Linked DNA regions of Anolis sagrei. The protein of the gene in region 1 interacts with the protein of each later gene in a pairwise test. Links are inferred from orthologs where the notes say so. Each region holds a gene or a part of one and is shown in the gene's direction. Other genes may lie near its edges.

What was found.
Region 2: the proteins of TRIM69 (region 1) and FAM110A interact in binary tests that used the Homo sapiens proteins (3 or more experiments, as listed by UniProt). The two-hybrid records come from large-scale screens. The link is inferred for Anolis sagrei from reciprocal best matches to the Homo sapiens genes TRIM69 and FAM110A.
Region 3: the proteins of TRIM69 (region 1) and ASNS interact in binary tests that used the Homo sapiens proteins (3 or more experiments, as listed by UniProt). The two-hybrid records come from large-scale screens. The link is inferred for Anolis sagrei from reciprocal best matches to the Homo sapiens genes TRIM69 and ASNS.

Annotation. Positions count from the first base shown.
Region 1 is NC_090029.1:25,771,024-25,782,090, forward strand, and holds the start of TRIM69 (E3 ubiquitin-protein ligase TRIM69), read left to right. Parts: upstream 1-5,729; coding exon 5,730-6,215; intron 6,216-7,698; coding exon 7,699-7,794; intron 7,795-9,336; coding exon 9,337-9,570; intron 9,571-9,809; coding exon 9,810-9,832; intron 9,833-11,067.
Region 2 is NC_090024.1:240,805,875-240,816,588, forward strand, and holds the start of FAM110A (protein FAM110A), read left to right. Parts: upstream 1-5,560; 5' UTR 5,561-5,718; intron 5,719-10,714.
Region 3 is NC_090026.1:100,055,418-100,066,115, forward strand, and holds the start of ASNS (asparagine synthetase [glutamine-hydrolyzing]), read left to right. Parts: upstream 1-6,385; 5' UTR 6,386-6,613; intron 6,614-10,032; 5' UTR 10,033-10,050; coding exon 10,051-10,299; intron 10,300-10,698.

The DNA of each region.
Region 1 (11,067 bases):
CCAAAAGGTTGGTGCTTTGAATCTGGAGAGCGGGGTGAGCTCCTGTTGTTCGCTCCAGCTTCTGCCAACCTAGCAGTTCGAAACATGCAAATGTGAGTAGATCAATAGGTACCACTCCAGCGGGAAGGTAACGGCGGTCATGCAGTCATGCGAACCACATGACCTTGGAGGTGTCGCACCTCAGAGTAGAACCACCTTGCTTATGACACCAAAGAACACACCAGCAGTAGTCTTTGTAGTTTTATTAAAAGAAAAGATAAAAGGTTCAAAAAGCAAAAGTATATTTCAAAAGATCAATCCAAAGTAACATAGGCAAACAAGATCCATGAAGGCATAGGCAAGGCAAGGTCCCATGAGAACATGACGAAGTCCTGAAACATGAGCATGAAAAGCTGCAAGATAAATCCAAAGTCTCTTGGTTGAAGCGTGAAGTTGCTCTGACACTGAGGCACATTCAAACAGTCTGTTTAATCCTGGGCCAGGATGAAGGCGTTCCTATGGCCTCGGGCCTCTTTCTCTCTCTCGCCTTCCGGTGATCCTGACACTCCTTTGCACTTTCAATTCCAAGCGATCAACTCTATCTAAACCACCGGCCCCATCGAAGTCAAATCCCTCATTAGCTGGCTGAGAATGATCCTCCCTTCCTACATTCCTTCATCAGGCACCTGGTTCTCACTTTCAGTAGTTTCACTTTCCCCAGCGTCAACCCTTGCTGTGGGAAACAAATGAACTCCTGCCCCCTGGTCCTGGTATCCTCGTCTAACACAGGAACATCCTTGCTTTGCATCTGACTCTGAATCTGAATCTCATCATCTCCATCAGAATCATTGATACCATCACTCTGTGATTCAAGCTGAGTCACAACAGGAGGTGTCTAAGCTCTTCGGCTTAGAAATGGAGATGAGCACCAACCCCCAGAGTTGGACATCACTAGACTTAATGTCAGGGGAAAATCTTTACCTTTACCTGAGAATTATAAATTCAAGTACCTTTCATAGCCAAAATTAGACTAAGCCCATTTATGTTGGAGGGTACCCATCAGAAGATTTTTTTTGCTCATGGCTCTTTCAGGCCATCCTGGACTCCTCCCCTCTCCACTTACAGGTAGGCATCCAAGGAGGAAAAGATCCCAAACTTCCATATGTTGAGAACAGAGGTCACTTAAGCTGCATCAGCAGAGACAATAGTAAGGTGTGACACGACTTCAAGTCCCAGGTGTGGAGGGCTGTGTGTTTCCACATTGCCTGTGTGCTTTGGAGATATCTAGAGTCAAATAGAGGGAGAAAATGTGGAGACAATGGCAAACTTTGTATTTCTAGGTGCAAAGATGACTGCAGATGCAGACTGAAGCCAGGAAATCAGAAGACATTTCCTTCTTGGGAGGAGAGCAATGACCAATCTCAATAAAATAGTGTAGAGACATCACACTGGCAACAAAGATCGGCATATTTAAAGCAATGGTATTCCCCGTAGTTACCTATGGATTTGAGAGCTGGACCACAAGGATGGCTGAGCAAAGGAAGAGAGATGCTTTTGAACTGTGGTGTTGGAGGAAAATTCTGAGAGTGCCTTGGACCGCAAGAAGATCCAACCAGTCCATACTCCAGGAAATAAAGCCAGACTGCTAACTGGAGGGAAGGATAGTAGAGGCAAAGATGAAGTCCTTTGGCCACATCATGAGAAGACAGGAAAGCTTAGAGAAGGGAATGATGCTGGGGAAAATGGAAGGAAAAAGGAAGACGGGCCTACCCAGGACAAGATGGAGGGATGGCATCCTTGAAGTGACTGGCTTGACTCTGACGGAGCTGGGGGAGGTGACGGCCAACAGGGAGCACTGGCCTGGTCTGGGCCAGGAGGTCACAAAGAGTCGGAAGCGACTGAACAAATAAACAACAACAACAGAGTCAATCAAATCTTATTACAAACTAGCCGTCCCCTGCCACACATTGCTGTGGCCCAGTCTGTGTATATGTGTTTTGTGTGTGTATATATGTGTATATATTTGTGTATATGTATATATATGTGTGTATATGTGTGTATGTGTGTGCGTGTGCCTGTGAGACGTGGACTGTCTACAGATGTCACATGCAACTCCTGGAATGATTCCATCAGCGTTGCTCCAGAAAATCCTGCAAATCTCTTGGAAAGACAAGCAGACAAATGTCAGCATGCTGGAAGAAGCAAAGACCACCTGCACTGAAGCGATGGTCCTCCGCCATCAACTCCGCTGGACTGGCCACGTTGTCTGGACGCCTGACCACCGTCTCCCAAAGCAGCTCTACTCTTCAAGAACGGAAAATGGAATGTTGACGGGCAGGAAAAGAGATTGAAAGAAGGGCTCAAAGCTAACCTCAAAAACTCTGGCATAGACACTGAGAACTGGGAAGCCCTGGCCCTTGAGCGCTCCAGCTGGAGGTCAGCTGTGACCAGCAGTGCTGCAGAATTTGAATAGGGAAGAATAGAGGGTGAAGGAGAGAAACATGCCAAGAGGAAGGTGCATCAAGCCAACCCTGACCGAGACCGCCTGTCACCTGGAAACTGATGCCCTCACTGCAGGAGAAGATGCAGATCAAGAATAGGACTCCACAGTCACGTACAGATCCACGGCATACTACACACTGACCCTGGAGGACCATCATCCTCAGACAACGAGGGATCGCCTAAGTAAGTAAGGAAATAAAGTGTATGTGTGGTTTTGCGCATGTGTTGTAATGTATTTTTATGGGATTTTTTGCTTTTTAGTCCCTTCTGCTGTGTTTTTCAGTGTTTTAATTAGTGATGGTCATTCATTGGCCTGAGATGTGAATTGAGGCCTCACTTCAAGATCTTTGTCATTCAGAGAAAGAGCGGAAAAGAATCATTGGAAGCCAGGTAGAACCTTCAGGAAAACAATTGGCCAGTGGCAGTTATGTCATAGGATTCTAAAGCTGCCTAATAGAAAGGCAGAGCTGGAAGGAGCAGCTTGGACAAGGTTAGCTCAAAAACAGAGGTGAATCTGTAAGAAATGGACTAGGGGGGGAAAAGGACCGTCTAGAAAAGGATAAGGACTTGCTTGGACAAGGCTAGCTCAAAAATAAAAGGTGAGTCAGTAAGAAATGAACAGGGAAATAAACAGGAACGCAAAAGAGGAGCACTCTCAGCCTTACTATGAAAATATTTAATAACTAGCTGTACCCACCATGCTGTACCCTCTTTCTCTCCTTCCTTCATTCCCTCTTTCCTTCCTTCCTTTTCTTCTTTCCTTCTCTCCTTCCTTCTCTACCTATTTCCTTCTCTCCTTCGCTTTGTTTCCATACTTCCTTCTCTCTTTCCTTCTTTCCTTCCCTCCTTCTTTCTCTCCCCCTTTTCCTCCTTTCTTCTTTACCTCTTTCCTTCTTTTGCTTTGTTTCCAGCCTTCCTTCTCTCTTTCATCCTTTCCTTCCCTCCTCCTTTCTCTCCTTCCTTTGCTCCCTCTTTCCTTCCTTTTTCTTCTTTCCTTCTCTCCTTCCTTCTTTACCTCTTTTCTTCCTTCCTTTGTTTTGTTTCCATCCATCCTTCTCTCTTTCCTTCTTTCCTTCTCTATTCCTTCCCTTCTTTCCTTCCTTCGCTTTGTTTCCATCCTTCCTTCTCTTTCTCTCTTTCCTTCCTTTTTCTTCTTTTCTTCTCTCCTTCCGTCTCTACTTCTTTCTTTCCTTCCTTTGCTTTGTTTCCATCCTTCCTTCTCTTTCCCTCCTTCCTCTTTCTTCTTTCCTTCTCTCCTTCCTCCTTTACCTCTTTCCTTCCTTCACTTTTTCCATCCTTCCTTCTCTTTCCCTGTCTCCTTTCTTCCTTTTTCTTCTTTCCTTCTCTCCTTCCTTCTCTACCTCTTTCCTTCCTTCCTTCGCTTTGTTTCCATCCTTCCTTCTCTCTTCCCTTCTTTCCTTCCCTCCCTCTTTCGCTCCTTCTTTCCCTCTTTCCTTCTCTATCTCCCTTTCTTTCTTTCTTTCTTTCTTTCTTTCTTTCTTTCTTTCTTTCTTTCTTTCTTTCTCCCCTTTCTCCCCTTTCTTCCTTCCCTCCCTCTTCCTTCCCTTTTTTTCTGCATTGTCATTTAGCTTTTTGTCATTTAGCTTGTTTTGATTTTTAAGTCCTTTCTGCTGCTGGTTTTCTTTGGGGAGGGGGGTTATGAGTGATGGTCACTCATTGGTCCATTAGGGGTTTAGTGTCCAAATTTCATGTCAATTCATCTAGTGGTTTTTGAGTTATGTTAATCCCACAAACAAACATTACATTTTTATTTATATAGATGTTGCTGAACTCGGTCTAAACCAGGATTAGCATCTAGCTCATTTCTGATGCTAATAATTCTGGCCACACTTTTCCAATGTAATATTAATGCCAAATGCCCAGATAGATGGCTGACAATCTCTTTAATTCAAATCCAGGACAGATACTTAATTGTCTGGGGTGTCTTTAGGCTCTTTCCCACCCACCATAGAACATGAGAATAGTACTTCTAGCATATCTCAGCCCCAAGCAATAGTTACCTATCAATAGACAAATGGCAGTTCCCAATTTTCATGACTTATTTTGTAAGCTTACTTAATGTATTTTCTACCTTGCCATATAGATTATAGATAGCTGCTCTTTGTTTCTTACATGATTTAAAAAAAAATTGCATGTGTTATTATTGTTCTGTATCACATCAAAATCTTCATATGGATTTGCAATTAAATACATAAACTGGGGAGAGGTAAGAAATAGTTTTAAGATAGTCCCATGTCCTCGCATGGGAAGGTAGAGCTGATAGATGGGTGCTCACCCTGTCTCACAGATTCAAACCGCCGACCTTCAGACTAGCAGTTCAGCCAGCACAAGGGCTTAACTCATTGCGCAAACGTGGCTCCATATGTCAAACGACATACGGCAGCCATACTCCTGTCTACAATTTCTTTACATGAGTATCAATCATTATTACGAGGGTTGAATGAAAATTAATGCCTCCACCTTCATAACTCCTCAACAGATGGCAGTACTGGTATGCGGCAGGTATTGGTTTGTTCAGTAGACTCTCCTCTACAGTTCCATTTTGACAGGAAGCCTTAGCATTGAACAGTTGTGTTGTTAAAGTGCGAAGTATGGAACCCTGCGCAGACAGTCGGTAAATATGACTTAAGCAACGTGTAGGCATTGAATTCTTGACAGCAGAAGATGCCACCTCAACATCTTCAAACTTACTTGCCCAGTGACACACAATACTCACATCAACACAGTCACCATAAACAACTTGCATTCTCAGATGAATCTCCTGTGGGGTGACACCTTCAATGACTGCACGTTGCTTAAGTTGCATTGACCGACCGTCTGCGCAGGGTTCCATACTTAGCACTTTAACAACACAACTGTTCAATGCTAAGGCTTTCCACCAAAATGGAACTGTAGAGGAGAGTCTACTGAACAAGCCAGTACCTGCCGCATAGCAGAACTGCCATCTGTTGAGGAATTACGAAGGTGGAGCCATTACTTTTCTGCTAAGGCTTCCTGCCAAAATGGAACTGTAGAGGAGAGTCTACTGAACAAGCCAGTACCTGCTGCATAGCAGTACTGCCATCTGTTGAGGAGTTATGAAGGTGGAAGCATTACTTTTCATTCAACCCTCGTATATTTCAAAGTTATGAAAAACACTTCTACATTGACATAAAGATTGAACTTTAATTCCACTCCTTTTTTCCCCTTGACAGAGCAGCAACTTTAAGCATTTTCTTTCTGAGACCATGTCCACCTCTACCAGCAAAAACCCTTCCACGTCCTCCTTTGTTTCAATCCACGAAAGACCAATCTTCCAGGGTCCTTCCGATACGTCATGGGAGCTGCATGCGGATGATTTCACCAAGGAATTGTCCTGCGGTGTGTGTCTAGAACTGTTCAAGAACCCGGTTATCCTGTCCTGTGGCCATAACTTCTGTAGGGATTGCCTAGAAGACTTATGGAAGAAAAAGGGCATCTTCTGTCCACAATGCCACGCGAGTGTCCCCGATCGAAAGTACATCTCGAACACCGCCCTGGAGAAGATGGCGGATAGGATTAAGACCTACCACGTGGGGTGCCTGCAACAGAAGTGCATCGAACACAGCGAGCCGATGACTCTCTACTGGAAGACGCAAGAAAAACTCGCCTGCTTCACCTGCCGGGAAACTCTGCTACCCAAAGAGCAATGCACACAGTTCCTTCTCATTCCAGATGCTGTACAGATCTTTACGGTAACTCTCATGCCATCACCAGTCTATATAAATAAAAATGTAATGTTCGTTTGTGGAATTAACATAACTCAAAGACCACTGAACGAATCACTGCCATATTTGGCCACAAGACACCTACTCACCCAAGGAGTGACCATCACCCAAAAAATTGGGTTGTTGTAGCTTTTTCGGGCTATATGGCCATGTTTTAGAGGCATTCTCTCCTGACGTTTCGCCTGCATCTACCTCAGAGGTAGTGAGGACTGTTGGAACGAGGAAAATTGGTTTATATGTCGGTGGAATGACCAGGGTGGGACAAAGGACTCTTGTCTGTTGGAGCTAGATGTGGATGTTTCAACTGACCACCTTGATTAGCTTTTGATGGCCTGGCAGTGCCTGGAGCAATCTTTTGTTGAGAGGTGATTAGATGTGCCTGATTGTTTTCCCTCTGCTGTTTTGCTGTTTTAATTTTAGAGTTTTTTAATACTGGTAGCCAGATTTTGTTAAGGAGGAAACCATGAAAATGAACAAAATCTGGCTACCGGTATTAAAAAAATCACTGAGAAGGCCCTGTCTCTCGTCCTTGCCAAACGCGCCTGTGATGGTGGTGGGACCGAGAGCAGGGCCTCCCCAGAAGATCTTAATCTCTGTGGTGTTTCATAGGGGGAGATGCATTCGGATAGGTAAATGGCCGGGGCCATTTAGGGCTTTATAGGCCAAAGCCAGCACTTTGAATTGTGCCCAGTAGCAAACTGGCAGCCAGTGGAGCTGGTGTAACATGGGAGTTGTGTGCTCCCTGTACGCCGCCCCAGTTATTAGCCTGGCTGCCTCTCACTGGACTATTTGAAGCTTCCGAGCAGTCTTCAAAGGCAACCACACGTAGAGGGCGTTGCAGTAATCTAACCTAGATGTGACAAGAGCATGGACCACCATGGCCAAGTATGAATTTCCAAGGTATATAAGCAGTATAGATAGATAGATAGAGTAATGGAATTATTATTATTATTATTATTATTATTATTATTATTATTATGAATGTATCCTAGGCCAAAAAAACACCAGGAAAGCATCCACCTAATAAAGATTCTCTAGAATGCCTATCTATCTATCTATCTATCTATCTATCTATCTATCTATCTATCAGCAGTATAGATAGATAGATAGATAGATAGAGAGAAAATGTAATAGAATTATTATTATTATTATTATTATTATTATTGATAATAATAATATTTTATTTATACCATGCCACCATCTTCCATAGGGACTTGGTACGTCTTATATATAGCACACATGATGCCACACCACACATAAAATACAGTATATCAACATTGAAAACATTAAAAATACAATAACATATTTAAAACCAAACATATAAAATTGACAGAAGTTAAATATAGAATTATTCATTGAATGTCCAAATTGAAAATGTTGATGTCACTATTTTACTTAGGTGTGATGACTTACCTATTCTATAACATTCTTTGTGACTATTTACCCACAGGAAAAGTTGCTCATGATGAGAATTCAGCTCAGATCCATCTTGGTGAAGTTGGAGGTGTTGAAGAATGCCCAGGAAGAAAAGATCAGTAACCACAAAGTGAGTATCATTGATTCAGTAGATCTCTACTTGAATATCTTACTGTTGAGTATTTTAGGTGATGGAAACTTGTGTTTTGTACTTCTGAAGCAAAGGAACACACTGGGGACATTATCACCTGAAGCTGTCAGATGTTGGCTCCCTAGATTAAAAAAAAAAACCAACTTACCACCACATGACATTACCCTAAACCAGTGATTCCCAATCTTTAGTCCTCCAGGTGTTTTGGACTTCAGCTCCCACGATTCCTAACAGCTGGTATGCTGGCTGGGACTTCTGAGAGTTGAAGTCCAAAACATCAGAGGGACCAAATGTTGGCCTAAACCCACTGAAAACCAATCTTCAAGGTGTGTTGAGTAAACAAAAATTGTATTTCCCCATTTTCGGCTCCTGAATTATTATTCAGAAAACTTTAGAAAGCAATTTCTGCCATGCAGTATCATGAATGAAATGCAAAGATACAGAAAGAGGGACATGTGGCTCAAAAGCAGTATGTGTGAAAAAGATATTGGAGTCCTCGTGGACAACAAGTTAAACATGAGCCAACAATGTGATGCGGTGGCAAAAAAAGCCAACTGGATTTTGGCCTGCACCAATAGGAGTATAGTGTCTAGATCTAGGGAAGTCATGATACCCCTCTATTCTGCCTTGGTTAGACCACACCTGGAATCACACTGTGTCCAGTTCTGGGCACCCCAATTGAAGAGAGATATTGACAAGCTGGAATGTGTCCAGAGGAGGGCGACTGAAATGATCAAGGGTCTGGAGAACAAGCCCCATGAGGAGCGGCTTAAAGAGCTGGGCATGTTTAGCCTGAAGAAGAGAAGACTGAAAGGAGACATGATAGCCATGGATCAAGATGTGAGGGGAAGTCATAGGGAGGAGGGAGCAAGTTTGTTTTCTGCTGCTTTGGAGACTAGGACACAATGGAACAATGGCTTCACACTACAGGAGAGGAAGGAGATTCCACCTGAACATGAGGAAGACTGTGAGTGCTGTTCAGCAGTGGAACTCTCTGTCCCGGAGTATGGTGGAGGCTCCTTCTTTGGAGGCTTTTAAACAGAGGCTGGATGGCCATCTGTCAGAGGTGCTTTGAATGCAATTTTCCTGCTTCTTGGCAGAATGGGGTTGGACTGGATGGCCCACGAGGTCTCTTCCAACTCTAGGATTCCATGATTCTATGAATCCACTTCAGTGGATTTTGTGGATTTGATAATTCATGGATTTGATTAATATGTGCTCTATAGGAATCATTAGGTCCTCCGGTGCAATTCTACAGTCAACTTCCAACAGAGGTTGACGATAGCGTTGCATGGGAAGACCTAGAAATTCCTAACGAGAACACTTCCTAAATATTTGGAGGTCTTCCAGTGGCCAAAGTTGACAATAGAGCTGCTGTAGAGTATTCAGAGGATGTTTTATTTGCACTTGTTCAGCTTTTATGAGGTCTCTGCCCACTTAACTCCAGCAAATGTGGAAGGCCCATTGTAGTATCTATCACCAGTCCTGCTTGCGTAATCTAATTACTTTTCTTATTTCCAGGAGAACAAATTGCAGCTCCAGTACCATATCTCCTTGGAATTCCTAAAATTGCACCAATTTCTTCATAGCAAGGAAAAGGAGTTAATCAACCAGTTAAAGGAAGAGAGTGAAATCCTGCTTCAGGAGATGGAAGCGAATATTAACAGACTCCAAGACCGAACCCAGAGTGCTAAGGATACTCTGGTTTGCATTCAGGCCCGGCTGTACCAGCAGAATTCGGCTAGCTTCTTGAAAGTAAGAATTCGAAATGCAGTCTCGCTCTGGATTGATCCCAGAGTGTCACAGACACTAGACTGGCCACTTCCTTTCACTTGGTGTTAGAAAACACCTCACATTAAAAAAGAGAGTTAACTGAGACCATATATATGATCTATGAATGCATATATAATTTCAGCATAGTCCTAGTGATATTGTACAACTATTTATTTTAAAAGGCAATTTTCACACATTTTTTCCTTTTTTCTCTCTGACAGGGAATCAAGGTTTTTATAGAAAGGTAAGTACTGGTTAATAAGAGGGTCTTCTCAGGTTGCATCTACACTGCAGACTTAATGCAGTTTGACATCTTTTAACTGCTTTGGTTCCAGTCTATGGAAACCATTCTTTTTGATATGAATGTTTCAACAGAATGGCCTCAAGATTATTTATTTTCCATAGAAGGCTTTTTTTTCTTTTTAAGAGAGAAAGAGAGAAGGTAAGTTGTAAATTAGTAATAGCAAGTTAATATTTTGTCATTTGCAAAGTATGGTATGCATATGGTATGAGGAAATCAAGGAGTGGTTCATAGTAGGTGAGCAAAATTATTCTACCTATTCATCCCATATGAAGAAAATGTGGGATGACTATGAATGATTGGTGCATGGAAGAACGGGAAACTCCAATCAGCACTCAGAATGAATTCCTGGATGTCTTTTGCACCAGAGTTTCACTGGTGGATCTTAAGATTCTGGTGAAAAATAAAATAGATATAACAAAAGCAGGTCTATGTATTGTCGAAGGCTTTCGTGGCTGGAATCACTGGGTTGTTGTAGGTTTTTCGGGCTATATGGCCATGTTCTAGAGGCATTTTGTCCTGATGTTTTGCCTGCATCTGTCGCAAGCATCCTCAGAGGTTGTGAGGTCTGTTGGAGCTAGGAAAATTGGGTTTATATATCTGTGGAATGACCAGGGTGGGACAAAGAACTCTTGTATGTTGGAGCTAGATGTGAAGGTTTCACTTGGACACCTTGATTAGCATTTGATGGCGTGGCAGTTGTTTGGTGTGGCTTGTTAGTGCTTGAGGGAATCTTTTGTTGAGAGGTGATTAGCTGTCAATGGCTTCTCTGTGCAGTCTGACATGGTGGTTGTGAGAGTGGTCCAGCATTTCTGTGTTCTCAAATAATATGCTGTGTCCAGGCTGGTTCATCAGGTGCTCTGCTATGGCTGACTTCTCTGGTTGAAGTAGTCTGCAGTGCCTTTCATGTTCCATGATTCGTGTTTGGGCAATGCTGCGTTTGGTGGTCCCTATGTAGACTTGTCCACAGCTGCATGGTATACGGTAGACTCCTGCAGAAGTGAGAGGGTCCCTCTTGTCCTTTGCTGAACGTAGCATTTTTTTGGATTTTCTTGGTGGGTCTGTAGACAGTTCGTATGTTGTGTTTCCTCATCAGCTTCCCTCTGCGGTCAGTGGTTCCCTTGATGTATGGCAAGAACACTTTTCCTCTGGGTGGATCTTTGTCTTGACTCTCGTGG
Region 2 (10,714 bases), on another chromosome or scaffold:
GATGGGAGCCTCCTTCCAAAATCCAAGGATTGTTGTTGTTTGCTGCGTGTTTTCAAGTTGTGTTTGACTTAGGGTGATTCCATTGAGAGGTTTCCCTGGTAAGATGATTTCAGAGGAGGCTCACCATTGCCTTCCTCTGAGACTGAGAGAGTGTGACTTTCCCATAGACACTCAGTGGAGTTCATGGCTGAGTGAGGATTTGAACCTTGTTTACAAAGGGTTATCATCATCATAATCACCATCATCCAGCTTTTATCTCAGTTGAGATACAGAAGGCAGGACCTACACTATCATATAATACAGGAAGGGTTAGGAAGGGGAGGAAGGAAGGAAGAAAGGAAGGAAGAGAGGGGGAGGGAGGGATGGAAAGAAAGAAGGAAAGAGAGAAGGAAGCATGGAAGTAAAGAGCGAAGGAAGGAAGGAAAGAGGTAGATAAGGAAGAAAGGAGAGAAAGAAAAAGGAACAGAAAAAAGGGAGAAGGAAAGAGGTAGAGAAGGAAGGAGAGAAGGAAAGAAAAAAGGAAGGAAGGAAAGAGGAAGCAAAGGAAGGAGAGAAAGGAAGAGAGAAAGACAGAGGGAAGGAAAGAAAGTAAGAGCTAAGGAAGGAAGGAAAGAGGTAGAGAAGGAAGGAAGTGGGAGGGAGGGAAAGAAAGAAAGAAGGAAAGAGAGAAGGAAGCATGGAATCAAAGAGCAAAGGAAGGAAGGAAAGAGGTAGAGAAGGAAGGAAGGAGAGAAGGAAAAAGGAACAGAAAAAAGGAAGGAAGGAAAGAGGAAGCGAAAGAAGGAGAGAAAGGAGGAGAGAAAGACGGAGGGAAGGAAAGAAAGTAAAAGAGGAGGAAGGAAAGAGGTAGAGAAGGAAGGAAGGAAGGAAGGAAGGAAGGAAGGAAGGAAGGAAGGAAGGAAGAGGGAGGGAAAAAAAGAAGGAAAGAGAGAAGGAAGCATGGAAGCGAAGAGCAAAGGAAGGAAGGAAAGAGGTAGAGAAGGAAGAAAGGAGAGAAAGAAAAAGGAACAGAAAAGGGAGAAGGAAGGAAAGAGGTAGAGAAGGAAGGAAGGAGAGAAGGAAAGAAAAAAGGAAGGAAGGAAGGAAAGAGGAAGCGAAGGAAGGTGAGAAAGGAGGAGAGAAAGATGGAAGGAAGGAAAGAAAGTAAGAGAGAAGGAAGGATGGAAGCAAAAAGCAAAGGAAGGAAAGAGGTAGAGAAAGAAGAAAGGAGAGAAAGAGGAAGGAAAAGAAAAAGGGGGAAGGAAGGAGAGAAAGAAAGAAGAAAAGGGAAGGAAAGAGAGAGTGAAGGAAGGAGAGAAAGAAGGAGAGAAAGAGGGAGGGAAGGTTGACCACAGCAATGCGTGGCAGGTACAGCTAGTCTGAAAATAAGCAGCAACAAATACAAACCTATTTTGATAATTAAACCTGTGTTACTTTAAGTTAAGTTTGTCTTTGTCTTGATGTACTTTCAGTGACTGTATTGCACTATTAATATCAAGTCAATACAGAGTTCATGGCATGGTACAATATGGGGTATGGTATTTGTTACACCTATTTTTAATAGCAACTCCCAAGCAACCAGAAACTACATGTATCCAGCACCTATCATTCCCCATGGTTGCCTGTTAACTGAGAGTCTATGTACATCTGAAAAGAATGGTCCAAAACAGCATCATAATGGCACTACTTGGAAACAGCATCAATAGCCAACAATAGGGTCATGGATAGTATTTGTATCACTGATGGTCCATCATTCAATCCATCTGTGTATATTATATGTGCCTTCATGATGCCTGTATTTATGGCAATTCCATGAATCTCAGAGGGTTTTCTTAGGGAAGGAATATTCAGATATGGTTCTGCCAATTCCTTCTTCTGAAATATAGAACCTGATATTCATTGGCAGTCTCCCATCCAAGCACTAACCAGAGGTGACCCTACTGAGCCTCCAAAACCAGACAGGATTTGGAGTATTGTAGGATACTTAGCATTTAATAAAAGTGATAGCCCAACCCCACCTTGCTGCTGTCAATATCTGTGTATTGATTTCCAGATGCATTTGAAGTCAAAATGCGCAAGAGACAAGAGTCTAGCAACCCAAACACCCCTGCTGCCTAGCAAATTAGGAGGCGGTGTTTTGATTTTCAGATATACTGGGAAAACATACATTTCTAAGTCGAGTCTGGTTGCAAAATATGGGACAACCCCAGCCCACCACACTTCCTGATGTCTTGGAAGGGGGAACTGATTTCTAGAAAGATAGGCACAGTGAGAAAGATAACTATAAAGCTACATGCAGTTTGCAAATCGTCTGGAAAGGGTCTGCTAATTGGTTTTCAGGTACGTTGGAAAGAGACAAATCCCTGGAGACAAGGAGTTGGCACCTTGAAAGTCAGCGACGCACTAAGAGTGCATCTATACCAGGTATGTGCAAACTTTGGCCCTCCAGGTGTTTTGGACTTCAACTCCCACAATTCCTAACAGCCTACCGGCTGTTAGGAATTGTGGGAGTTGGAGTCCAAAACACCTGGAGGGCCAGAGTTTGCCCATGCCTGATCTATACAGTTGAATGAATGCAGTTCAACACCATTTGAGCTGCCATGTCCAAATGCTATGGAATCATGAGATTTGTAGCTCAGCACCAACAGAGAAGAGAAGGCTGCAGACCTTGTAAAACTACAACTCCCATTGAGCTATGGCACTTCAGGTGGTGTCTAATTGCCTTTATTCTACAGTATAGATCAGTGTTTCTCAACCTTCCTAATGACACGACCCCTTAATACAGTTCCTCATGTTGTGGTGACCCCCATCCATAAAATTATTTTTGTTGCTAATTCATAACTGTAATTTTGCTCCTGCTATGAATCATCATGTAAATATCTGATATGCAGGGTGCATTTTCATTCATTAGACCAAATTTGGCACAAATACCCAATACATCCAAATTTGAATACTGGTGGGCTTGTGAGGTTGGGGGGAGAATTGATTTTGTCATTTGGGAGTTGTAGTTGCTGGGATTTATAGTTCACCTACAATCAAAGGGCATATTGAACTCCACCAGTGATGGAATTGAACCAAACATGGCACACAGGACTCCCACGACCAACAGAAAATACTGGAAGGGTTTGGTGGGCATTGACCTTGAGTTTTGGAATTGTGGTTCACCTGTACCCAGAGAGCACTGTGGACTCAAACAATGATGGATCTGGACCAAACTTGGCATGAATACTCAATTTGCCCAAATGTGAAAACTGGTGGAATTTGTGGAAAATAGACTTGACATTTGGGCGTTGTAGTTGTTGGGATTTATAGTTCACCTACAATCAAAGAGCATTTCGGTTTTGATTATGCTTTCTTGCCCTGGTGAAGGGAGTTGGACTGGATGGCCTTAAGACAGCATTTCTCAACCTGGGGGTTGCGAGGGGATGTCAGAGGGGTCACCAGGTACCACCAGAAACACTGTTGGTCATGGGGGTTCTGTGTGGGAGGTTTGGCTCAATTCTATCGTTGGTGGGGTTCAGAATGCTCTGTGATTGTAGTTGAACTATAAATCCCAGCCACTACAACTTCCAAATGTCAAGGTCTATTTTCCCCAAACTCCATCTGTGTTCATATTTGGGCATATAGAATATTTGTGCCAAGTTTGGTCCAGATCCATCATTTTTTGAGTCCACGGTGCTCTCTGGATGTAGGTGAACTATAACTCCCAAACTCAAGGTCAATGCCCACGAAACGAGGGGATGAGGAGCAGGGCCTTCTCGGTGGTGGCCCCTCACCTATGGAATTCACTCCCTGGGGAAATTAGATCATCGTCATCCCTCCTTTCCTTTAGAAGGAAATAAAAAACATGGATTTGGGACCAGGCGTTTGGGCAATCTGCCAGATAAATAAAGGACAACGACGACTGATAGGAATGGAAAATGTGGAATGAAGTTATGGACTCTGAGTTGCGAACGTTGAGCATAAGATTGTTTTTTTATTGACTGTGATATATATTGATTGTTTTTAACTGTTAAAACTGTTTTAATTGCTGTCTATTTTTTATCTGTATTACTGTGTAGGCCTCGAATTTTGCCTTTTTGTAAGCCGCCCTTAGTCCCCCCTTGGGGGTTGAGAAGGGCGCGGTAGAAGTACACGAAATAAATAAAATAAATAAACCCTTCTAGTGTTTTCTGTTGTTCGTCATGGGAGTCCTGTGTTCCACATTTGGTTCAATTCCATCATTGTTGGAGTTCAGAATGCTCTTTGATTGTAGGTGAACTATAAATCCCAGCAACTACAACTCCCAAATGACAAAATCAATTTTTTTTGAGTGAAGGACATACATTGGATTGTTAGGTGTCTTGTGTCCAAATTTGGTGTCAATTCATCCAGCCGTTTCTGAGTTATGTTAATCCCACAAATGAACATTACATTTTTATTTATATAGATTGCTAGCCTTAAGGAGAGGCAGGTAGTGAGTAAAATTATTATTGTTATCATCATCATTAGCATTTCCATGAACATTGCTAGCATTGCGGAGAGAGAAATGCTGAAAACCAATGGGGAAGGAGATATATTTTTGTTTTAACAAAAACCACTGGATGAAAACTAACAAAATGAAGTTCAACAGTTCAACAAGTGACCCCTTGCCACTTTGGCAGGAAAAACGAAATGCAAAGATACAGAATGGGGGAGCAGTACATGTGAAAAAGATCTTGGAGTCCTTGTGGACAACAAGTTAAACATGAGCCAACAATGTCATGTGGCGGCAAAAAAAGCCAATGGGATTTCGTCCTGCATCAAGAGGAGCATACTGTCTAGATCTCGGGAAGTAATGCTACCCATGCTCTATTCCGCTTTGGTGAGACCACACCTGGAATATTGTGTCCAATTCTGGGCACCACAACTGAAGAGAGATACTGACAAGCTGGAATGTGTCCAGAGGAGGGCGACTAAAATGATCAAAGGTCTGGAGAACAAGCCCTATGAGGAGCGGCTTAAGGAGCTGGGCATGTTCAGCCTGAAGAAGAGAAGGCTGAGAGGAGATATGATAGCCATGTATCAATATGTGAGAGGAAGCCACAGGGAGGAGGGAGCAAGCTTGTTTTCTGCTTCCCTGGAGACTAGGACGCAATGGAAGAATGGCTTCAAACTACAAGAGAGGAGATTCCATCTGAACATGAGGAAGACCTTCCTGACTGTGAGAGCCGTTCAGCAGTGGAACTCTCTGCCCCGGAGTGTGGTGGAGGCTGCTTCTTTGGAAGCTTTTAAGCAGAGGCTGGATGGCCATCTGTCAGGGGTGATTTGAATGCAATATTCCTGCTTCTTGGCAGAATGGGGTTGGACTGGATGGCCCATGAGGTCTCTTCCAACTCTGTGATTCTATGATTCTATGCTGCACCCAGCCTTAAGGAGAGTATGGCAAGGAATCAAACCTGTTGTTGTTATCCTTGCAAGGACTGCTGGGAATCATTGGCAGGCTTTCTGCAGGGAGGCAGGGCAGTGCCTTCCTTGGGCAAGCCCTCTTTCCCTCCCTCTCTCTTCCCAAATGCTGCTGCCTTCTTCTCTGCTGCTGGGCGAACCCCCTTCAGGAAGGGAAATTCCCCAGGTGAGTGTCAACAGGAAGTTGTGCAAGGCGCTCACCTGGGCGCTCAGGTCACCTGGGAAGGTTTAACTCGGCGCAGGCAGAACGAGAAGCAGCTGCTTCAGAGAAGAGACGAAAGGAGGAAAGGAGCTCCTGTTTTCTCTCTCAAGAAGGTAAGAAAGCTCCCTTTCTTTTCCTCCATTGCTGCCCACGTTGCAGATTGTCCTGCCAACTGAGGAGCCATGCCAGGCAGGCAGAGATGCAACAGGTAGAGTTGCATCTACCTGCCCTCTCTTTTGAACTCCCAGGATCATTTTTTCTTACTAGCTCAAAACTCCGATTCCCATTTTCCCCCTTTCCCCAGCTATCAGGTCTCCAAGAGCTGCATGACAGGTAGAAATCCAACAGGTAGGGTGCCTGCTTTCTCTTTTCAACTCCCAGAGCATTTTTCTTAGTTGTGCATGGCTTCTATTCCTCTTTCTCTCCTTTCTTTGGCTATCAAGTCTCCAAGAACTACCTGGCAGGTAGAAACTTAATAGGTAGAGTGATTGACCTCTCCCTCTTTTAGACACCTAAGTCACTTTTTTCTTAGTGGCAGAAGGCTCCCATTTCCTTTCCCCCTACTTTCCGGATTATCATATGTGGCAGGCAGAAATCCAACAGGTAGACTGACAACCCTCTCTCTTTTAGATACCCAGGTCTTTCTTCTATTCCCTTCTATTCCCATTTTCCCATGCTATCAAGACCCCAAGATTTGTGTTGCAGGTAGAAATCCAACAGGTAGGGTGCCTGCTTTCTTATTTCAACTCCCGGATGATTTTTCTTAGTAGTGCATGGCTTCTATTCCCCTTTCTCTGGCTATCAGGTCCCCAAGAGCTGCCTGGCAGGTAGAAACCCAACAGGTAGAGAACTTGACCTCTCTCTCTTTTAGACACCTAGGTCACTTTTTTCGTAGCAGCAGAAGGCTCTCATCCCTTTCCCCCACCATTTTCCGGATTATCATGTATGGCAGGCAGAACTCCAACAGGTAGGGTGGCAACCCTCTCTCTTTTAGACACCTAGGTCTGTCTTCTTAGTTGTGCAAGACTTCTATTCCCATTTTCCCATGCTATCAAGACCCCAAGATTTGTGTTGCAGGTAGAAATACAACAGGTAAAGTGCCTACTTTCTTTTTCAACTCTCAGAACATTTTTCTTAGTAATGCATGACTTCTATTCCCCCTTCCCTGGCTATCAAGCCCCAAAGACCTGCCTGGCAGGTAGAAACCCAACAGGTAGAGTGCTTCACTTCTCCCTCATTTAGACGCCAAAGTCACTTTTTTCTTAGGAGCAGAAGACTCCCATTTCCCCAACTTTCCAGATTATCATGTCTCCAAGAGCTGTGTGGCAGGCAGAAATCCAACAGGTAGGGTGGCAACCCTCTCTCCTTTAGACACCTAGGTGTGTCTTCTTAGTAATGCAAGACTTCTATTCCCACTTTCCCTCGCTATCAAGACTCCAAGATTTGTGCTGCAGGTAGAAATCCAACAGGTAGAGTGCTTGCCCTGTATCTATTTTCAAAGATGTCCTAGGTCATTGGTTCTCATAGAAAGCTGGAAGAAAATACAAGTTTTTGGACACTTTCAAAACTTATTGGCTTATTTTCACCTATGCTTGTCTCTGAAAAAAGGGCAAAAGCTTTGATTTAAGGTTAGCTTTTAAGGTGCCACGAAAGTCCCCATACAATAATAATAACAATAATAATAATAATAATAGAATACAGAAATAATAATAAAATCCCCTTTTCCTTCCCTTTTTGTCCCATACCCAGTAGAGAAGGGCAGAGAACTGTATGGCCTTCGGAAATATAGGGACCGGAACCCAAAGTATTCCTCACAACTGGCTCTGCTGGTCAGGGATGATGGGAATTGTTGTCCAAGGACATCTGGAAAGCTCCAAGATTCCTTCTCATGATAGATGGAGGGCCAACAGAAAAATGTAACTTTTCTTTTGACGAGAACACAGGATCGTTGGATTGAGTTAGGAATAATCGCTCAAGACTTAAGGGATCATGGGTTGCTGTGAGTTTTCTGGGCTGTTTGGCCATGTCCGAGAAGCATTCCCTCCTGACGTTTCACCCACATCTATGGCAGGCATCCTCAGAGATTGTGAGGTCTGTTGGAATCTAGGCAAGTGAGGTTTATATATCTGTGGAAGAATGTCAAGGGTGGGAGAAAGAACTCTTTGTCTGCTTGAGGCAAGTGTGAATGCTGCAATTGATCACCTCGATTAGTATTGAATAGCCTTGCAGCTTTAAGGCTTGCCTGCTTCCTCTCTGGGGGAATCCTTTGTTGGGAGGTGATTAGCTGGCCCTGATTGTCTGGAATTTCCCTGTATTTGAGTGTTGTTCCTTATTTACTGTCCCGATATTAGAGTTTTTAAATACTAGTAGCCAGATTGTGTTGATTTTCATGGTCTCCTTCAAAGAGTTGGAAGAGACCTCATGGGCCATCCAGTCCAACCCCATTCTGCCAAGAAGCAGGGATATTGTATTCAAATCACCCCTGACAGATGGTCATCCAGCCTCTGTTCAAAAGCTTCCAAAGAAGGAGCCTCCACCACTCTCCGGGGCAGAGAGTTCCACTGCTGAACAGCTCTCACAGTCAGGAAGTTCTTCCTCATGTTCAGATGGAATCTCCTCTCTTGTAGTTTGAAGCCATTGTTCCATTGCGTCCGAGTCTCCAAGGAAGCAGAAAACAAGTTGCTCCCTCCTCCCTGTGGCTTCCTCTCACATATTTATACATGGCTATCATGTCTCCTCTCAGTCTTCTCTTCTTCAGGCTAAACATGCCAGGCTCCTTAAGCCGCTCCTCATAGGGCTTGTTCTCCAGACCCTTGATCATTTTAGTCGCTCTCCTCTGGACACATTCCAGCTTGTCAATATCTCTCTTGAATTGTGGGGCCCAGAATTGGACACAATATTCCAGGTGTGGTCTAGATGGCTGGGAGGACAACAGATGGAGAATATACACTTCCCAGAATAGGGCCTGGATTATCATATGTGAAAAAGAAACTGCATTTTTCCCCTGGGTTATATTGACTGCGTGCCAGATTCTCCACCAAGAATCACTTTGTGATTAGCATACATATAAAAAACTATAATATTTTGGTTTTTTTTCCAAGTGTTGTATCACTTGATTCACTATCCAGACTCAGATTTTAAAAAAAAATAAGGATTACTAATGCTTTACAAAAAATACTGCATAAATAATGTGGATTTTGGAGGTCTCCATTAGTGACGATATACATGAATTGGAGAATATGGTTAAGGAAGATGTTGTGTGCCTTCAGGCCCCCTGTCAACATATTGATTGTGTTATTGTGATTGTGTTTATTGGAATGTTATTTTGTTACTGTATTTGGTTTTTTTCTTTTTATGTAATTTTGATGATGTTGCTTGTTGTTTATGTTTTGGTTTTATTTTGCTGTAATATGTTGTCTGGGCTTGGCCCCATGTAAGCCTCTCCAAGTCCCCATTATTATTATTATTATTATTATTATTATTATTATTATTATTTGGCTGTGGATGGTGAGATCCGGACTTTGGATACCAGAACCCAAAGGCGCGGATACCAAGTCTGTTAGGCAGCCGCCAGAACCGGTCTACAGCCAATATTCCAGGTGTGATCTACAGCCAAAGCAGAATAGAGGGGTAGCATGACTTCTCTAGATCTAGACACTATGCTCCTATTTGGCCTGCATCAATAGGAGCATAGTGTCTAGATCTAGAGAAGTCATTCTCCCCATGCTCTATTCCGCTTTGGTTAGACCACACCTGGAATATTGTGTCCAATTCTGGGCACCACAATTCAAGAGAGATATTGACAAGCTGGAATGTGTCCCGAGGAGGGCGACTAAAATGATCAAGGGTCTGGAGAACAAGCCCCATGAGGAGCGGCTTAAGGAGCTGGGCATGTTTAGCCTGAAGAAGAGAAGGCTGAGAAGAGATATGATAGCCATGTATAAATATGTGAGAGGAAGCCACAGGGAGGAGGGAGCAAGCTTGTTTTCTGCTTCTCTGGAGACTAGGACGCAATGGAACAATTTCTTCAAACTACAAGAGAGGAGATTCCATCTGAACATGAGGAAGAACTTCCTGATTGTGAGAGCCGTTCAGCAGTGGAACTCTCTGCCCCGGAGTGTGGCGGAGTCTCCTTCTTTGGAAGCTTTTAAACAGAGGCTGGATGGCCATCTGTCAGGGGTGATTTGAATGCAATATTCCTGCTTCTTGGCAGAATGGGGTTGGACTGGATGGCCCATGAGGTCTCTTCCAACTCTTTGATTCTGTGATTCTATGTTGTCCGGGCTTGGCCCAATGTAAGCTGCTCTGAGTCCCCATTGGGGAGATGGTGGTGGGGTATAAATAAAGTTTTTATTATTATTATAATTACCCCTCTGATACCCCCTTGCAACCCCCCCCCCAAGAGTCCCGACCCCCAGGTTGGGAAACACTGCACTGGACGGCTGTTGACCGGTGCTGGTGGCCACCTAAGAGACTCGGTATCTGCGCCTTCAAAGTCCAGATCTCATCATCCGTGGACCGTTTCAAATTGCTTTATTTCAATATGGCAACCCATGAATTTTATCGAGTTTACCCGACATTCATGATGGTCTCCCACCCAACTGCTAACCTGGGCTGACCCTGCTTATCTTCCAAGGTCACTTGGGTTTCTAGTGCCTCTGATCTGGAATTGTTTCCAACATTTCAAAAGTCAACAGATTTTAAAAAGGGAATTCAAATCCAGTATTGGTTCTTTTTAAAAGTCCTTTCAGTTGACTTTCAAAACACTATGGACAGTGTTCATAGAAGTGAACGGCAGACTTTGGAATGCAGAGGCGTGTTCAAATATATGAACAGAGTTTTCTTAATGGGATGGAATTCTGCTTTGGAAAGGAGATGTTTGCAGAACTTCTTGGCTTGCTTTTCCAGTTTGTAGAATGAATGCAGTTTGGCAATATGTTAACAGCCATGCCTTGGTGCTATGGCTTCCAGGGAGTTGTAGTTTTGTGAGGCAGAGAAGGCAAAGTACCTTGCAAAACTACAATTCATGAAATTAGATAGTGCTGCACAATGGGAGTTAAAATGGTGTCAAGCTGCATTACTTCTACAAAGTTCAGTTCAACAATATGT
Region 3 (10,698 bases), on another chromosome or scaffold:
ATTACTTCAAACCAATCTGTAACTGGATTGACAAGTTATGTACCTGCTTGCTGAAGGTTGTGAGTAAACCAGATATGTTAGTTTTAACAAAGTCTACTTTATTTTTGTCTCTTGAGTGCATGATATAGAAACAAGATGTTTTATGGGAGAGTAGATATATTTTTGGGCACTAAAAAACCCACTTCTGAAGAACTGCTATTTTTGTGCATTGGCATAATCTCTGTTCCTAACAGATCAGAGACAACCAGGTTATCAGTCTAACAATTGAAAGCCAATTTGCCTTGCATAAGTACATGTGGATATATACCACTAAAGAGAAGATTTAACTAAAATGATTGTTTTTTTGGCTCTTCTCTGGAAGATCATACTTTTTCAAAAAGGTTATGATTTTCAAATGATTGTGAATGCCATTTTTCTCCAAAAGGTTATGGAGATTCCGGTTTTCCAAAACATTTGGCGTCTACTTTCACAAAGGTAGCATCATCCCCTCTTGGTGGAGTATGTGCAAGTTTACCAAGAAACAAACCCCAATGAGTTGAATGAGTTTAGTGGGACTTATTATTTCTAGTCAATTCACTTAGAACTGCAGTCTCAGTCTAAAGGACTATCATACAATTCTCATGATTCTTTCCAAAACAAACAATTACACTGCAACCACATTAACAGAAAGAGTGCACTTGCTGTAATTTCAGTTTCTAGTTGAAATGTAACCTTGTGGGTTTTTCAGTAGATGGTGACATGGCAATGAGGTGGCTCTCTAGTTACAGGGCTCAGCGCCTTCCAGTCTAACCAGTGGAGTACTGCACTCTCTGGCTTCAGCCCAATACCATATTGACATTCCTGTTCGATGCTGCGTCATGTGGAACCATGCAGAAATGGATTCACAAACCAAGCTGTCAAATTAATGCCGATAAAATCCAATGTGCACAGTAAATACATCCAGGGAGTTTGCACATTTTAAATTATTTTATAACAAAACCAGAGCTTGTAAAATGTTCTTTCTGGATTGGAGATTCTGGGAGATGTAGTTCAGATTAGTAGCTAATACAGTTTCTGGGAAAAGGGGGAAAGCTACTTACGAAATGTCACCAACAATGATTTTGAACAGGAAAATATTGGGAAAGATAAGGGTTAAACATTCATTCTTAATAATTCTCTCTTGAAATGGCTTCTCAGTTTGAAAAAGACTACAGTTAGACACACTGTTATTTCTCCTTTGGGACATCAGCATCAAGTCTGGCTACTAGTCAGCTTTAAAAACAGTCTAAAAATAATTAATTTATTGGTAAAATAAACATTTTTTCAGCCTTTTGAAGGATGTTGTCAAATACAGACTCTTTAATATAGAAACGTTGAAAGTGTCCACATAATCCTATACAAACAAAGTTGAGCTTTGACTGCCAAAGCAATAGCTCTACCTTGTGACGGAATGATGTGACTGCTGCTTTTGTCCTAATAGTTTCACTTTACATATGTAGTAAATTGTACCATGATGAATATTAAGATTTGTTAATAGTTTATATGTGGGATAACCAAACCTATGTGTGGATATGCATATCCAGACAATGGTATTTTTTTTTAAAAAAAGAGAGAATGGTGGGGGCTATCATTCACAACAATTATTAATTACATGCAAAACAGATTTAACTGAAAGTGAGTAAAATTCAGTTCTATTGAATGCTGTCAGAGCTCACATAGTAAGGCTCCCAGTTCTCCAGTAATTGGGCTACTGTGAGTTTTCCGGGCTTTATGGCCATGTTCCACAAGGCTTCTCTGCTGACGTTTCACCCATATCTATGTCAGGCATTGTCAGAAGTTGAGGGGTCTGTTGGAAACTAGGTAAGTGGGGTTTATATATATGTGGAATGTTTAGGATGGGAAAAATAACTCTTGTCTGTTTGAGGCAAGTGTGAATGTTGCAATTGGCCACTCTGATTAGCATCTAATGGCCTTGCAGCTTCAAAGCCTGGCTGATTGCTGCCTGGGGGAATCCTTTGTTTGGAAGATTAGCTGTTGTGGATTTCAGTGGCTTCTATGTATAGTCCGACGTTGTAGTTGGTAATTGTTAGGCAGCAATCAGCCTGGCTTTGAAGCTGCAAGTCCATTAAATGCTAATCAAGGTGGACAATTGCAACATTGACACTTGCCTCCAACAGGCAAGAGTTCTTTCTCCCACCCTGGACATTCCACAAATATATAAACTCCTCTTGCCTAGTTTCCAATATACCTCACAACCTCTGAGGATGTCTGCCATTGATGCAGGCAAAATGTCAGGAAAGTTCTGGAACATGGCCATACAGACCAGAAAACTCACAGCAACCCCATGATTCCAGCCAGGAAAGCCTTCGACAATTCATCAAACATCTCCAGTAATTGGTAACATGGATTTTCCAAAAGGGTTTTGGCTATTATCTCTAATAAGGAACAGTCAAATAATTATATAGATTGGGAAAACTGGATAAAAATAGGGAGCAACAACATCATTATAGTATTTGTAATGGAGTATAGTAGTAGGCAGCAGGTTTCTAAAGACATGTACCAGAAGGAACTGTTTGGTTTATTCATAAGTGAATTTGGGTCAGAAGTAGAAAGTAAAACAGAGTTTTAGTTAGCAAGCGGATAGTAGAGCATAACTCAGAATGGTAGAATCTGGAAAAACCTGAAAAGAACTTTAAATGAATCTGTCTGTCTGGAGACTGAGCGATAGCAGTACAAATGTAGCTCATTGTAAACAACTGCCATTCATTCGTTTTATTGCATTTTCTTTCAGGGCGATAAATAAGTCAAACATGCTAATCAAATCGATTCAACATGTGCACGACTTACTGCAACAGCTGTGAAGGGCTTGGTTCCAAACGTTTTGGCAGCAACACAAATAAAACTTTTAGATGGCTAACACAAGGACTCAGATCAGCACATATTTTGCAGTTTCATCCAGCTACACAGCCTTCAACTCGTTATACTACTTTCTTTTGGAGACAAGACCATAGAAAAGTTATTTTCTTTTAACAACTGCCTGACTTCCTCTGCTAAATTGGCCAGTGTCACAATGTCATGTGGTCCAACCGGTAACTTTTCTAATACGGTGCCAGAAGGAAACTCTTAGACCTTCATGTTGTCATTCAAATTTGACTTCACTCTTTGATTTTTTTTTTTCATAAAAAGAGGGTGTTTCTACACCAGTATTTCTCAATCTTTCTAATGCCGCAACCCTTTAATACAGTTCCTCATGTTATAGTGACCCCAACCATAACATTTTTGTTGCTACTTCATAACTGTAATGTTTCTACTGTTATGAATTGTAATGTAAATATCTGATATGCAGGATGTGTTTTTATTCACTGGACCAAAACTGGCACAAATACCCAATACACCCAAATCAAAGAGCATTCTGAATTCCACCAACAATGGAATTGAACAAAACTTGGCACACAAAACTCCCATGAGCAGCAGAAATTACTGGAAGGGTTTGGTGGGCATTGACCTTGGGTTTTGGAGTTGTAGTTCACCTACCTCCACAGAGCACTATGAACTCAAACAATGATGGATCTGGACCAAACTTGGCCCAAATACTCAATATGCCCAAATGTGAACACTGACAGAGTTTGGGGGAAATAGACCTTGACATTTGTAAGTGCTGGGATTTATGGTTCACCTACAATCAAAGAGCACTCTGAACTCAGGCTACAATGGATCTGAATCAAACTCTGAACACCACCTACATGGTCAACATTGAATACTGGTGGGATGGGGGGGGGGGCTGTTTTTGAATTCTGGGAGTTGTAATTAACCAACACCAAAAAAGAAGAGAAGGACAGGTGGAGAGATTTTCAGCCTTCTCTGGCAAAGAGGTTAATAAGACCATCAGAAATGTGTTTTCCTCACACACACACACACACACCCCCGGGGTCCTGACCCCCAGGTTGAGAAACACTATTGTACACTATGAAGTTTGATGTCACTTTAACTGCCATGGCTCAATTTTATGGAATCCCAGAAATTGTTGTTCGATGAGGCTCCAGCACTTTGACTGAGAAGGCTAAAGACCTTGATAAAACTACAAGTCTCTGCATTCTACAGCATTAAGCTGTGGCAGTTAAAGTGCTGTCAAAATACTTTATTTCTACAGATGTAGATGCACCCTGGGGCTGTCACTACAAGTTCACATCAGTCTGGAGAAAGAAGCAACTATCCACACTACTGAATCATAGAGGAATTATTATTATCATCTGCCTTTTCCTATGAGATGGGGGAACCATTAAAATCTGACACATAACATCAGTTTAAAAACACATGTTCTTATAAACACATGATGTTAAGTAAAACCAAAAGATACTAAAACAATCAGTCCATCCTTTAAACTTCACAATTTGAAAATAATCGGGATATGCCTTCCAGATGAGACTGGTCTTTCATCCTGTTTTAAATTCAGACAGCGGATGCAGCTGTCAAATCTCTTCCAGCAGATCATTCCACAGTCTAGGGGCAGATGAAGAAAAAAAAAATATTTGGATGACAGTTGCTAACCTAGTCCTGGCTGATTGAAGCAGATGTCCCCCATATTATATGGGCCTGATCCATGGGTCAAATTATATGCGAGGATAAATGCTACAGGGTGACTCTTGCAGTGGCAAAATTCCTTGCAGTGGCAACAAGACTGAGAAAGAAAGAAACCTCCAATAGGGGTATGACTTGAAACAATGCAGATGTATCTGATATTTGGTAGAATGAACTTCTGAGTTGTGAGAATTTAGAAATGATTGTCTGTTTCACTGATGGGTCTATGGACCATAATAAATATTGTTGTTTTGTTGTTATATGCGATACAGTAGGTAGGTAAGCTATCACATTAGCTTCCATGGCTCCAGCCTAGGGAATCAGGAGATATACAATTTAGGAAGGAAATTGTTTGATTGTTATAGAGCTCCAATTCTCTTGAACTGCAGCAGAAATTCAAGCTTCTCTCTCCAAACTGCATATCCCAGGATTCCCTCAGGCTTTATCTACACTGCCATATGAAATCCAGATTCGAACTGATTTATATGACAGTGTAGACTCATAATTCAGTTCAACGTTGATAATCTGGAATCAGACACTGGATTACAGGCAGTTCCTGAGTTACAAACATCTGATTTACAAATGATTCAGAGTTAAGAACGGGGGTTTATTTATCATGTCAGGAGCAGACCAAACAATTGTGTTGCATTTTTAACAAACAAAACATAAAGTTTGCAAGCTGGCAGAGGTGGCCCTAGCCCGCCCCCCCAACCAATCACTGATATATATTTTCTGTTCGTTGTGGGAGTTCTGTGTGCCATATTTGGTTCAATTCCACCATTGTTGGAGTTCACAATGCTCTAATTGTAGGTGAACTATACATCCCAGTAACTACAACTCGCAAATGTCAAGGTCTATTTTCCCCCAAGAGTGCCTCAAGAGCGCCCCTGGGCAAAATCAACTATACTGCAAATGCTTACTTTGTGTAATGGGTTGAGCCGCCCCTGCAAGCTTGGTAGTTGATTAAATGTCCTTTGACCAGTAGCTGGCCACTTGGAGTGCCTCTGGTGTTGCTGCAAGAAGGTCCTCCATTGTGCATGTGGCAGGGCTCAGGTTGCTTTGCAGCAGGTGGTCTGTAGTTTGCTCTTCTCCACACTCGCATGTCGTGGATTCCACTTACTAGCCCCATTTCTTAAGGTTGGCTCTGCTTCTCGTGGTGTCAGAGAGCACCTTCCAAGTCGCCCAGTTTTTTGTGTGTCCAGGGGGGAGTCTCTCATTTGGTATCAGCCATTGATTGAGGTTCTGGGTTTGAGCCCGCCACTTTTGGACTCTTGCTTGCTGAGGTGTTCCAGCGAGTGTCTCTGTAGATCTTAGAAAATGATTTCTTGATTTAAGTCGTTGAGGTGCTGGCCGATATCCAAACAGGGGATGAGCTGGAGATGTCACTGCCTTGATCCTTTCGGGGGTGCAGCCGGGGGTGAGACAACAGGAAATGAGAGAAATCTACCAATTGCAACATTCATACTTGCCTCAAGCAGACAAGAGTTCTTTCTCCCACTCTGGACATTCCACAGATATATAAATCTCACTTGACTAGTTTCCAACAGACCTCACAACCTCTGAGGATGCATTGATGCGAGCAGGAGGGAATGCTTTTGGAACATGGCTATACAAACTCACAGCAACCCAAAGCTCCAGAGAACTTGATCATTACAGAAATGGATGCTGGTGCTGTCCAAGCCTAGGACTGTGGGAGTTGAAGTCCAAAACACCTGGAGGAAGGGCTGAAGTTTGCCCATGCCTGATGTCGATGCCCTGCTTAGGAAAGAGGGCGGGACCAGAGGCATGAGTGGCAGCCGGCTTTGGTCGCAACCTAGTTTCTCTCCTGGGAAGCGCTTGCTCGGTGGGTAGCCCTGGGAGGCAATCAGTTGCCAGTTTGCAAGCGGGAGGCGGAGCTCAGGACTGATGCAATCCGGCCTCGTGTTACCGAAGGCTTGCCAGATTTCCCCTTCTCGCTTTCGGTTGACACACGGATGAATTGGAGGCGTGGAAGTCTCCTGCCAACTGCTCTTCTAGTGCGGAAGCAATTGTGTTCCTCCTCCTCCTCTGAGCTCAGGTAAGAAAGGGATAGCCTTTTCAATACTAATAATGGTAGTAATAATATATTATCTCCCTCCTTGGATCATTTTGTCTCCATGTAAGCTTTCGGTATCCTTTCTATTCCCAAACTTATGAGTTTATGCCTCTTAGGACAGTTTATTCCCAAACTCTGGGCTTCCACAGGTGCATGTCTGCACTGTAGAATTAATGCGGGTTGATATCACTTGAACTGCTCTATGGTATGAGAATGATCCAGGGAATTCGATGAGGCACCAGAACTTTGCAAAGAAGGCGAAAGACTTTGTCAAACTGCAGTGCCCATGATTCCATAGCATTGAGCCAGGGGCAAACTTGGGCCCTTCAGGTGTTTTGGACTTCAACTCCCACAATCCCTAACAGCCTCAGAACCCTACTTTTTCCCCCTCAGCCGCTTAAGCGGCTGAGGGGGAAAAAGAAGGGTTCTGAGGCTGTTAGGGATTGTGGGAGTTGAAGTCCAAAACACCTGGAAGACCCAAGTTTTCCCATACCTGCTCTACAGTATAATTTACTTTCTCCGCATCACAGGAAAGGTGGAGGAAAGCTACACCTGTTGAATTCCTTGCAGTCCAGTTTTCCAGTTCTTTTTTTAGTGGGATAACTAATACACTTGGTAAGGAATGGATATTGGAACCTGACCTGTAGCCCGAACTTCCTAGCATATGCTATTATAGTGCTCTTATTCCACTCCAAATGCCATGACAATATCCTATGGATTTAGTGATGCCCAAGACCTGTAACGCCACCAAGACCATTAAATGCCATTGCCTCAACCACACATCGCAGGACTCCAGATACTGTTGCTGTGTCAGTTAAAGTGGAATAATAACACTGTAACAATACAGCGCCATAGGTTACTTCGACTCAAATAGCGTGTTACTTAGACGATCCCTCATTGTCCGAGTAGGATTGTCTTCCAAGATCTGTGTACTGGTGGTAGGTCTGTAGGTGACTGTGGAGCCCTATTCTTGATCTGCATCTTCTCCCGCAGTGAGGGCATTGGTTTCCAGATGGAAGGCGGTCCCGGTCAGTGTTGGCTTGACACGACTTCCTCTTGGCATGTTTCTCTCTTTCGCCCTCCATTCGTGCCTCTTCAAATTCTACAGCACTGCTGGTCACAGCTGACCTCCAGCTGGAGCATGCAAGGGCCGGGTCTTCCCAGTTCTCAGTGTCTATGCCAGAGTTTTTAAGGCTGGCTTTGAGCCCATCTTTAAATCTCTTTTCCTGTCCTCCAACATTCTGTTTTCCATTCTTGAGTTAGGAGTAGAGCAACTGCTTTGGGAGACTGTGGTCGGGCATCCGGAAAACGTGGCTGGTCCAGCGGAGTTGATGGTGGATGACTATCACTTCAGTGTTGGTGGTCTTTGCTTCTTCCATCATGTCCGCTTGTCTTCCCAAGAGATTTGCAGGATTTTTTTTTGGAGGCAATGCTGATGGAATTGTTCTAAGAGTTTCATGTGACATCCGTAAACAGTCCACGTCTCGCAGACATATAGCAGGGTTGGGAGGACAATAGCTTTATAAACAAGCACCTTGGTATCCCTACGGATGTCTCGGTCCTCAAACACTCTTTGCTTCATTCAGAAAAATGCTCACAGAGCTCAGGCAGTGTTGTATTTCAGTGTCAATGTTGACTTTTGTGGAAAGGTGGCTGCCAAGGTAGCGGAAATGGTCAAAATTTTCTAATATTACTATTACAAATAGTGTGTAATGTGTCAATTGCTAAGTCATTGAGCCCAGGAAGACATTTCTATCCAGTTCTTCACAGCTGATTTTCTCTGTTGGGTTGCTGTGAGTTTTCTGGACTTTATGGCCATGTTCCAGAAGCATTCCCTCCTGACGTTTCACCCATATCTATGGCAGGCATCCTCAGAGGTTGTGAGGTCTGTTGGAAACAAGGCAAGTGGGGTTTATATATCTGTTGAATGTCCAGGATGGGAGAAAGAACTCTTGTCTGTTTGAGGCAAGTATGAATGCTGCAATTGATCACCTTGATTAGCATTGAATAGTTTTTCAGCTTCAAGGCTTGGCTGCTTCCTGCCTGGGGGAATCCATTGTTGAGAGGTGTTAACTGGCCCTGATTGTTTCTTGTCTGGAGTTCCCCAGTGTTTGAGCTTTGTTCTTTAATTACTGTTATAATTTTAGAGTTTTTTTAAATACTGGTAGCCCAGATTTTGTTCATTTTATGGTTCTTCTTTTCTGTTGAAATTGTCCACATGCTTGTGGATTTCAATGGCTTCTCTGTGTAGTCTGACATAGTAGTTGTTAGAGTGGTCCAGCATTTCTGTGTTCTCAAATAATATGCTGTGTCCAGGTTGGTTCATCAGGTGTTCTGCTATGGCTGACGTCTCTGGTCGAATTAGTGTGATGTGCCTTTCATGGTCTTTGATTCATGTTTGGGCAATCCTGCGTTTGGTGGTCCCTATGTAGCCTTGTCTACAGCTGCATGGTGTACGGTAGACTCCTGCAGAGGTGAGAGGATCCTTCTTGTCCTTTGCTGAATGTGAAGTGTAGATCCGCTGGTAAATGTGGTCTCTGGAGCAGTAAAAAAATAAGCTAACTTCATTTTCTACCATTATCCCTCCTTGTTTACAGATTGAACTTTTGCACATTGGATTTTATTGATATGAACTTTTTAGGAATCTCTGGGATCTTCATTTCAATTCTGTGGCCAACTTCTACTCAAACTTGACCATAGAGTCTGCTTGGAAGTCCTAGAAATTGCTAGAGAAGTGTTCTCTCAGGTTAAAAAGTCATTTTATTTCCATTTCCAATAGGCTCCTGCATCCCTAATGTGAAGAGGTGACTGTATATGACATTCTTTCAGATATTGGAAGATGATTGTAATTCTACTTCTCTTTTTCAAGCTAGACATATCCAGCTAAACATATCTGTTTACAAATCTTCAATCCTCTTAATAAATAAATAAATAAATAAATAAAAACTTTATTTATATCCCATCTCCCAAAAGGGACTCAGGGTAGCTTACAAGACACTGCAAGTGTAGTATATAATATAAACGGTACATGAGTATAAAAACAATATCACATAAAAGTTATAAAAACAACCACTATTAATACATAAAATAAAATAAAAATACAGTTTAAAACTCAGACCAGCCTTTAAATCACAACTAAAGTGCCAAAGTGTCTGCCTCATATAGGCCCATTTCAGCTTACTCGAGGCCAAAACCCTGCTTTGTGGTGGCTTTTTGAACAATGGTGTTTAGAATTGGACACTGTATTTCAGTTGAGCTCTGATTAAAGCAGAATAGAGTGGCTCTACTATTCCATGATCTGGACACTAGACTTCTGTCGGTACAGCTTACTGTTGCATTTGCTTTTTTCTTTTGGTCACCGCATCACGTTGCTGTTCTTGTTATTATTTCTTCTCCAACAGCCTTGAATCTACATCATCATGTGTGGCATTTGGGCTCTTTTTGGGAGCGATGGATGCCTCTCTGTTCAGTGTCTGTGTGCCATGAAAATAGCACACCGAGGCCCGGATGCTTTCCGATTTGAGAATGTCAATGGATTCACCAACTGCTGTTTTGGCTTCCATCGTCTGGCAATTGTGGACCAGCTGTATGGAATGCAGCCTCTACGAGTGAAGAAATTTCCCTACTTGTGGCTGTGTTACAATGGAGAAATCTATAACTACAAGCAGGTAAAAATCCCCTAAAGCCTCTTATAAGGAACTCCTTTTCTAGGACTTGCTATGACACATTTTCCTCGTGCCTCTCTTGTCTTAGTAAAATCCTTTGCATGTTCAACCTGTAATTTCTTTAGACCATGCTTGGACAATCTGCATCCTTTGTCCTGGTTTCCAGAGCTGTCTGTAAGCTGTCAGATCCCTGATGAGAGGATGGGGCTGGGGAAGTAGAGGGGGAGACAATGGGGAAGGAGGATAGTGTACCCATTATGGGTTTGTGTTGGCTTTGGTCTCACCCATTAAGGGCTTGTGGTCCTGAGGTTATCTCAAAAAGGAGTGCATCTATCTACAAAAAAGAGACATTCCACTCCTTTCTATGAAGACTCTTAGGCCACCATGAGGCTTTAGGTAACT